2 linked regions of the Schizosaccharomyces pombe genome follow. The protein of the gene in region 1 purifies or fractionates together with the protein of each later gene. This does not show direct contact. Each region holds a gene or a part of one and is shown on either strand. Other genes may lie near its edges.

Region 1 (3,629 bases):
TGCAAAAAATGCGTGAGAGGATAGAGTATGAGGAAAGTAATTATACTCGCCTTCCTAAATTATCGAAGAAAGATTTAAAGAAATCTAAACGTGTAAAGAAACACGATTATGGTGGTGAAGACTGGTCATTGCTTGATCGCAAATTCCATGACGATGACTTTTCAAATCGTAAATTAGACCTGACTTCTAGAGCTAAGAGACGTGCTAATTTTGAAGACGTTAACGATGGCTCATTAGCTTCACCTGTTCAAATTGGCCAGTCATATCGTAAAAGAAAGAAGAATTTGAAACGTCGTTAATCATTATTTTGGGAACAGCCGTTGAGGTTTACTTAAAAAAATTGACCATATGTATTTAAAAAAATGGAGTTTTTGCGCTTGGTTTGGTATTTTTGTGTGGTTTAGGGCAGGTTATGTTTAATAAGATCAATATAAATTTTGCATGTACATGTCTGTATATGTGATTAGTCGCACATTAATATAGTTTACAAGTTCTAAACATAAGGAAGAAATCATTCATTCGTAGATGTAAACAAAAAAATCTTAATGATTTACTATAGTTACAATTTTGGCAACTTTGAAGCACTTAAATAGATTTAATGTGAAAGGCGGTTGAAAAAGAAGAGTAAGTTCTAATGAAATAGGGATTATTAAGACAGCTATGTCTTGAAATCAACTTTCCCAGGAGTCTTCTACAGTTTTTCGTACTCGACGCACATACTCCTTCTTGTTTTCACGATGCAGCTGAGCAGCTTCGGCATTTGCAGGGGACGCATTATTTGGATCATTAAGTAAGCTAAAAGTTAGTTATGAGAAATTTAAGTAATATTTCTGAAAAGCAAACCTTTGAATAGAGGTAAGAATTGCTGCCACATCGTAAGTTGGAGACCACCTGTTTTGCAGAATGTCCAAGCAAAGTTCGCCATTTGCGTACACATTTGGATGGAACTAAAGCCAATAAGTAAGTAAACAAAAAAAACCAAGAAAAAAGTAAATTACAACAAATCAAATAATCTAATTTAAGACTTGTCTAAATACAATGACTAAGCATACCATTGTGGAGACGAATTTTACAAGAGGAGGTTTATTAGGATATTGTTCATCAAAAGAAAGAACCAACTTAAAAGTTCCATCTTCAAATGGAGTGTCTGCTGGGCCAATGATAACAGCATTCCTGCTCAAATGGTTAGTCCAACATCAATAATAAAAAACAAAAGCAATCAATCCAGAAACCAACAAGCATAAAAAGATCGCTTCTTGTAAGAATTTTGAAACGATCTCCTTCCTAAATATATGGCAAAAAAGGCATTCAATATATAGCACATATATTCACCATTACGTTGCATAACAATAAGAGAAAAATGAATTGACATAGGTAAACACTTACCAAAGCATTACATTGTCAGAGACAGGGGAAGCTGAAACTCCAGCAGGAGGATCTTGCTGCATCCTCTAAGAATTGGTTAATATAAGTCTTCTCGGATCCACAACTGCCGTACCTTAAAATCTCGCATGAGACGTCTTCTTGCGGTCGTTGACATTTTTATAGCAACCTCTCTTCTATTTGTGATAACTTTAAAAAAAAGTTGCACAAATATCGATATCGCCTTGGAATTACACCGAGTTAGGATATCCGATTTGCGTTGTTGGAGAAGGGCAGGGAACAATAGTAGGACCATTCACTCATATGCAGTATTTCATTATTAATGGGGCGCACCCAACACGTTAAAATAATAAAGTGCACGCTCAGTTACCTTATAACTAGACCAACCTTTTAGTAATGTTCAGCATTTGCAATGCAAGTCTGCTTTAGTATTAATGAACTACTACTTCATTTAAATTATAGTTAAAGATAAGGAAAGTTGATATTTTTCATTCAACCATTAATCATAATCAAGGTCCGTGCATTTGTTAACGGTAAACTGTTGAACATGTGAAAATTATATATATTTACTTTAAGCCTTTGTTCTCATTGGGTTTAAAAAAGCAACTAAAATACATTAGGAAGAAAAAATGAAAGAGCAACAGGATGTAAGAAATAAATTTACATTTTCACTAGCTTAACAATGAGAAAACACAAACAGCCAATTTTTTACGCGTCTGCTACGTGATTGAAATGGTAGTTAGAAATGTATCTGAACTCTTCACCATTAGATATTTACATTGTGCATAAATTTAATTATCCAGAAAAAAATCAGCTTAATACTCTTATTAATTCACTGACTTAAAAATTACTAAGTTTTGTTTGGAGTATTTAAAAATTGCTGCACAAGTTAATCGACAAAGTAAATATAAAAATTCAACTTACCGGTAAATATGTTGACACAAGAGCCGCGATACCCATACTGATCAAATGTTAACATCCATAGAACTACATTAATGCAATGAATTAGGATTACTTACAAAGCCATTGAAGTCGGAGATGAGCTGGGAGACGTATTTGCGTTCAGTAAATTTGAAAAGGTTAGGATAAAAGCAACCCATGCAATTAATCTTCTCGTTAACATGAAAATCCTAAAATATCTTACATACTTGAAACGAAGAAATAAAGCAGCCATACACGTGGCTGTGCTTACCAAACTCAAGCCAACTATAATAGGGTTAGCAAACTTAATAAATTATTTGACGAAAGAAAGGATTTAAAATATTCCACAATGAACTAAAGCTTGAGCGATTAAATCAGCGTAACTCACGATTGGGTTCAATTTGAAAGTGCTTTCTACTTTACCTTCTTCATTTGCTTTGACTCTAGCTTTGTAGGGAACGATTAAATCAGGTCGTTTAAGTTCTGCAGGCGCCATATTTTATGAATTTTCGTTGTCGAGACTTCAGAACTGGTGAATGGGATGGTTCCTCTACAAGAATATAATGAAGTTAGTAATAAAATGTGTAAAATGGTTTTAGGTTAGGTTATTTAGCATTCAAATATATCGTGGGGGTTAAGAGTTCTTATCCCACTAAGAATTTCAACTATTTTAGACTTGGCTAAGCATTAGAATTAAAATCGATTGCAGTACCACGTGGGGGCTTTAGCAAGTCATAGGAGGAAACTGATCCTACTTGGCGAGTGAGAAATGGATTTCTTTTAGCATTCTAAGTCTTCTATATAACAATTTAAAGCTCAAACATAATATAATATTATTTATACTATTTTAAAAATTTAGGAACCAAGCCAGGTGAACTTAAGAAGTTCAAAGAGCATTTAATCGTTAGATGAAATAATAAAAAAAAAAATTACACTCGTTCACTCGTTTTCAATTTTACGAATAGGTTTGGCAGGTGATCCTACAGCCAACGTATTAGGTGGGATGTCTTTTGTAACAACAGCACCCGCTCCAATTACACTGCCTTCCCCGATAGTAACACCTGGGAGAACTATAACTCCCATACCAATCCAAACATTGTCCTGAATCTTGATAAAATTTTGTTTGTTAGTTGTAAGATGTTTCAATAACTGGACTAACGCATACGTTAATTGGTAAACCAAATTCAATTCCGGAGTTCCTTGCTTTAAAATCCAAGGGATGTGTTGCTGTACATAGTTGAACCTGGAAAGACACCATTAGTATATTTATTTTTTGAATGAATGACTTGAAAGTAACTATATATATATATAAACATACATTGGGG
Region 2 (4,844 bases), on another chromosome or scaffold:
AACAGGGAACTGCAGTTGCACCTTCTCTAAGGAAAATACACCTCTTTGCTCCTTTTCGGGATTATCAGCTGTGTATTCCAATTCCGCATCTTCTTGAATATCTGAATCTTCAGAAGAATTAGGATCAATCCAATCCTCGGCCAGACTCATTGTTCAATGGGATTGCACGCGTATCAATAGAAAATGAGATGAATTATTATAATTCCGCTGCCAATATAAATTAATTTACCAATATTTAAAAAAATAATTAATAGTAATTAATTGTTTCCTATTTCGCTAGTTACAGTCGCTACAGATACACACCCTCTATTTTTGGCACATGGATAATGGAGAGTGAGTCATGATGCTAGACTTGCGAAACTAGCATATGAATGAACGAAGTTGCTTAATGGAATAAGTTAATCAAATTGATAGATATTACTAGTTTTTTATTAAAAAAAGCATACATATTTATATGTAAATAAATAAATAAATATATATATATATATATATATATGTATATAGGATTGACTATTCTTTCAATAACTATTGATGCCAAAAAATATATTATGTACCAAAATAACAAAAACATTACGTTAATCATATAAAAGATGATCTAGAATTAAAGATGAATGGTCAAAATGTCGGAAACCGAAAAAGGTGTTTCACACTGCGGACATGTACTTGTTTTATGCTCATAAAAAGGTTCCATACAATTAGAACAAAAGGCATGACCACAGTTTGGAATGAGTTTAGATTTCCAATTAGAAAAGTTGCACACGGAGCATTTTAACATTCCTTTGTATACTTGAGCCTCTTGTGTTTCATATGCCTGGTTTATAAGATGAGACTCTTTCTTATTATACGAAGCTTTTATGGATAAAATAGTATGCTCTTCTTGCAAATGAAACAACTTCTGATGCATGATCATAAGCTTTTCCCCAGATTTTTGAACAGACTCTATAAGATCTTCAAGTTTTTGAGTAAGTTTTGTTTGCTTAACTTGTAAGTGCTTATCTTCTGTTAAAACTTCGACCGAGTGTTTCCCGTAGATTTCCTTTATTTGTTTATAAACTTCCAATTCAGCTTTTAAAGAGGATTCATATTTTGTTAGCGCATGTTCTCGCTCTTGCAACTTCCCTATATAATCATGTTCTTTATTTTCGGCCAGTTTAAGAGTTTTCTTCTCTGTCATAAGAATGTCCCGAGCTTTCATGGCAGCAAAATATTTTTGGGTGGCACGAGCCTTTTCATAATGCATTTCCAAAGCTTTTTTCTCCTTCGTTTCAAGTTCTTCATATTTCTTCAACAAACGAGATTGTGATTGATCAAATGCTGCATACATACTTGGGAGTTCAGCCTCCAAACAACTATTATTTTTTATTAGTTTTTCCAAAGCTGAAGACGCAGAAATTTCTTCTTTTTCATCTAGGACATTATTCATCTCACCAGTCTTAGACCTTTCAATACGATCCCATATGCACAATCGATTTGAATAACCTTCTAGAATTGCAACCCGAGCGTTTGACAAGTTGCTTAATAAAAGCATCATATCGTCAAAAAATAGATTGTTAGTATATTGCATTTGTTGTTTCGCCACTAGAGAGTCTCGTTCGTTACGAATTTGGGTTAAAGATGATTCAAGGGTTTTAATAAGTTGTTGTTTCTCTTTTACACATGCCAATTTTAAATCAATAATATCCTTCTGTCGTTTCGTCCGTTGAGAAATAAAAAACTGAATGTCCTCAAACAATGAAGAGAGGTCCCGATTAATGGATTCGATTTTCTCTTCATTTGAAGAAAGAACCCCCTTCAGCTCTAAATAATGGGGCTCTCTACTCACTCTTTCATCCGTTATACCCATAATGTCGACGTACAATTGTGCTGCACGAGTTGATTTTTGAGAAAGTTCATCCAATTTGGAATTTATATTTGCTTGCATCAAATCAGCTTGAGATTGAAAATTGTTTTTTAGTTTTGAAATATTATCATTATCATTTAAACATCCTTCCCCATTTTCGAGAATTGCTTTTGGTTCCGAAGCAGGGATATCATCAGCGATATTTTCAATACTTCTTTCGGAAGCACTAGTAAGCTGATCTTGCTGCACCCGTTTCCATTCTAATTCAGCTGAATTCAAAGCTTCACGAAAGAAGGAAAGTTTCCTTTTTAGGAGTGCCAACTTAAGTTGGCTAGTACGGTAATTAATCATACTTGTAAAATGAACCTGGCGTTGGTCTATCCATTCATGGACGTTTGGAGTTTCTTTTAATTTAAAAGAACCAAATTTAGCTAACTTTTGTAGAGTAGGTTCATGGGCTTGAAAATAGGAAGCATACTTATTCAAATAGTTTTGCGCATCTTTGATTAAACTGAACTCAGCAAGTGACAAATCTAGTGTCTGTAAATTATCATCAGGTTGATATAAAGAAGCAGTGATTTTCTCTAGTTCTTCAAATGATTGTTCATGATTTTCCAGAGCAGCAGCAACGTAATGATCAAGTTTCAAAACTAGAGATTCCCAATACTCGTATAATTTCTTTTCCAAAACAGTGAGATGCTCATACTCTCTAGATCTTCGCCAAGCTGCTTCCTTTTGAAATAACTCTAAGTCATCTTCTTCTCCGAGGTCTAAACGACGCGTTTCTTTTTCGCTGTGAATAAGACGTCTTCTTTTCCTCGATTCATTCACAACGCTCATTCCACTTCAAAAAAATTCCTTTTCTATTTTATAATTAAAATAAAGTACTTAGGATCAAAATATGTGCTCATTAACATTCACTAAGCCAATTCCTACGGTTAATGAGTTTTTTCAGGTTATCTGTACATGGTAGTCATGTCTCGTTAGTGAGTCAAATAGATTCCTCGCTATAATAATATGTTTCTTTACCTTAGTTATGCCTGTCTTTAAAGTCGCCTACGAAGTAGTAATTTGTATAATATAATTAATATTGGCAATGACAAAATAAACATTAGCTAACGACAATGGCTTCTTCAATTCCTTCGGTGGTTATCTAAATTGCTGAATTTATTCTACTATTCATATTAGTGTAAAGTATTTTCTTGCTTTATCTGTAAACTATAGCTTACATTTCCAGCGTTTTATAATAACTAAGTTTGTTCGAGGCTGACCCTGATTATTTCTACCTTTAGTTAATTTTATATCTTACTCAATCATTGCGACTATAAAACTTTTTACACATATATATTAATCTATTCAGACGGGCTTGCTTGGTTTCGTTGTACAGTTATACCCAGGATATAACCTCTTTATTAAAATATTACTGGTTCATGGACAACAGGCAAATGTTTGTACAAACATATGCGCACTGCCACATAATTTTTGAAATTCATGCAATTGAGTCGAAGTTACAGTCTAAACAGACTCAATGAGCTCGCAAATATTAACCTCACCTACAAGTACGTTTTTTTAAGTAGTAGGGCTTTCCACTAATGTTTTACCAGAAAAATCAATGTCAAGGTTTGCCCCTAAATTTACAGCCCGTAGAGAGAAAGTATCGGACCAAAAAGAGGTTGTTCATGAAGAAAAAAATCAACCCCTCACAGGAAACGAAGTAGAAACATCCGCTCAGCTGTCTCGTGATACTGCCAATGCTGATATTTCTAGTCCGGTTGTGCAAACAGTAGTTCACAAAGAGGCAACTGAAAATCCCACAGCTTCATCCTATAGAAAAGATGATTCAGTGAAACAAAATGAAAAACTTTTGCATTCAAATCCTACTTTTAAAATTTCTAAGCCAACGGTTCTTGAGCAGCCGTTAAATGCTATTGAGCATTTGTCGCCTGAAACCGATTTATCCTCTTCAGCCGAACAGCAATTTATGAAGGAATTAGATTTGTTTTTTGATGAGAACATTCCCCTTTCTCAGCTCAGTGCTGTTAGTGACGGAAAGGCGGATTCTCCGGCTACAAAAAAGTCTCGCCGTTCATATAGAGGTACGTAAATAAAGGGTTAATCTAAAATGCATTATTTAATAACATCATAGAATCTTCTTTGAAAAGAAAAAGTCAATTGATATTGGAAAACGTGGGTACCGACGAGAAAATCATTAACATAAGTGAAACCAAAATGTCTGCTTTATGTGATGATCCTGGAATTGGCCGCAAAAGTCAACGATTTATCGAATTAGAAAAAATGCTTTTTGAGGAAAAACGAGCAAAGAGGATTAAAAAACAAGGAGCAAGTACTGCAAGCTCTAGTCGAGAAGCGTCTTTAGATTCTACCATCAAACAGCCTTTGAGTGCCAGTCTTCTAGAATCAAGCGAACCGAAAGAGAAAGAAGAAATAGTAGGAAGTTTGGAAGAAGAGGGTACGGATGAGTCTGCTTCTCTCGAAGATAGTCTCTCTCACCCAACAAAGTCTATTCTTGATCAGTTAGCAGATAAAATGGAAGTTGATGGTTTGAATAACAACTCCAATTACTCTGCAACTCCTCGTACGCGAGTTGTTAATGGCCAAATTGTTCTGGATGAAACCTCACTAGAAGTCGACCGTCATGAACGTGATTTTGTACCAGCAGAGGAACGCGAATACGTTGAAGAAAATTCTTTAAGTCGTCGGGTTACAAGTGCTACTTGGGGAAATAGGCAGAAACCTGAGAAATGGAACGCTATGGATACTGAAAAATTTTATAAGGTATGGAGGAATTGCGCTCGTATTTACTGACATGGCAGGCTCTATCACAGTGGGGAACTGATTTTGCTTTAATTGCTAATATGTTTCCAACTCGTAATCGTCGACAGATAAAACTAAAGTTTAAACAAGAAGAAAGAAGAAATCCTGCACGTGTTAATCAAGCTTTGAAAATTAAAAAACCTATTGGTAAGACATTGTGTGAGTACTC

The links. Proteins that work in one complex are often made in the same cells at the same time.
Region 2: the proteins of rhp6 (region 1) and brl1 purify together in Schizosaccharomyces pombe (affinity purification with mass spectrometry, with the first as the bait; 2 studies listed by BioGRID). This does not show direct contact.

Annotation. Positions count from the first base shown.
Region 1 is NC_003424.3:303,634-307,262, reverse strand, and holds rhp6 (ubiquitin-conjugating enzyme E2 2), read right to left. Parts: upstream 1,658-3,629; 5' UTR 1,541-1,657; coding exon 1,499-1,540; exon of another isoform or gene 1,452-1,498; coding exon 1,387-1,451; exon of another isoform or gene 1,207-1,386; intron 1,174-1,206; coding exon 1,053-1,173; intron 948-1,052; coding exon 844-947; intron 796-843; coding exon 672-795; 3' UTR 501-671; downstream 1-500. Other genes in the region: U3 snoRNP-associated protein Lcp5, read left to right, coding at 1-299; protein pat10, read right to left, coding at 2,234-2,263, 2,308-2,344, 2,403-2,492, 2,532-2,589, 2,728-2,800; SPOM_SPAC18B11.09C (serine O-acetyltransferase activity), read right to left, coding at 3,244-3,411, 3,470-3,547, 3,623-3,629.
Region 2 is NC_003421.2:2,237,811-2,242,654, reverse strand, and holds brl1 (histone H2B-K119 ubiquitin ligase complex (HULC) subunit, ubiquitin-protein ligase E3 Brl1), read right to left. Parts: upstream 2,809-4,844; 5' UTR 2,681-2,808; coding exon 602-2,680; 3' UTR 501-601; downstream 1-500. Other genes in the region: pep3 (ubiquitin-protein ligase E3), read right to left, coding at 1-150; transcription factor TFIIIB complex subunit Bdp1, read left to right, coding at 3,369-3,399, 3,445-3,936, 3,987-4,636, 4,675-4,822. UniProt on the Schizosaccharomyces pombe protein: E3 ubiquitin-protein ligase which belongs to the histone H2B ubiquitin ligase complex (HULC) which mediates monoubiquitination of histone H2B to form H2BK123ub1.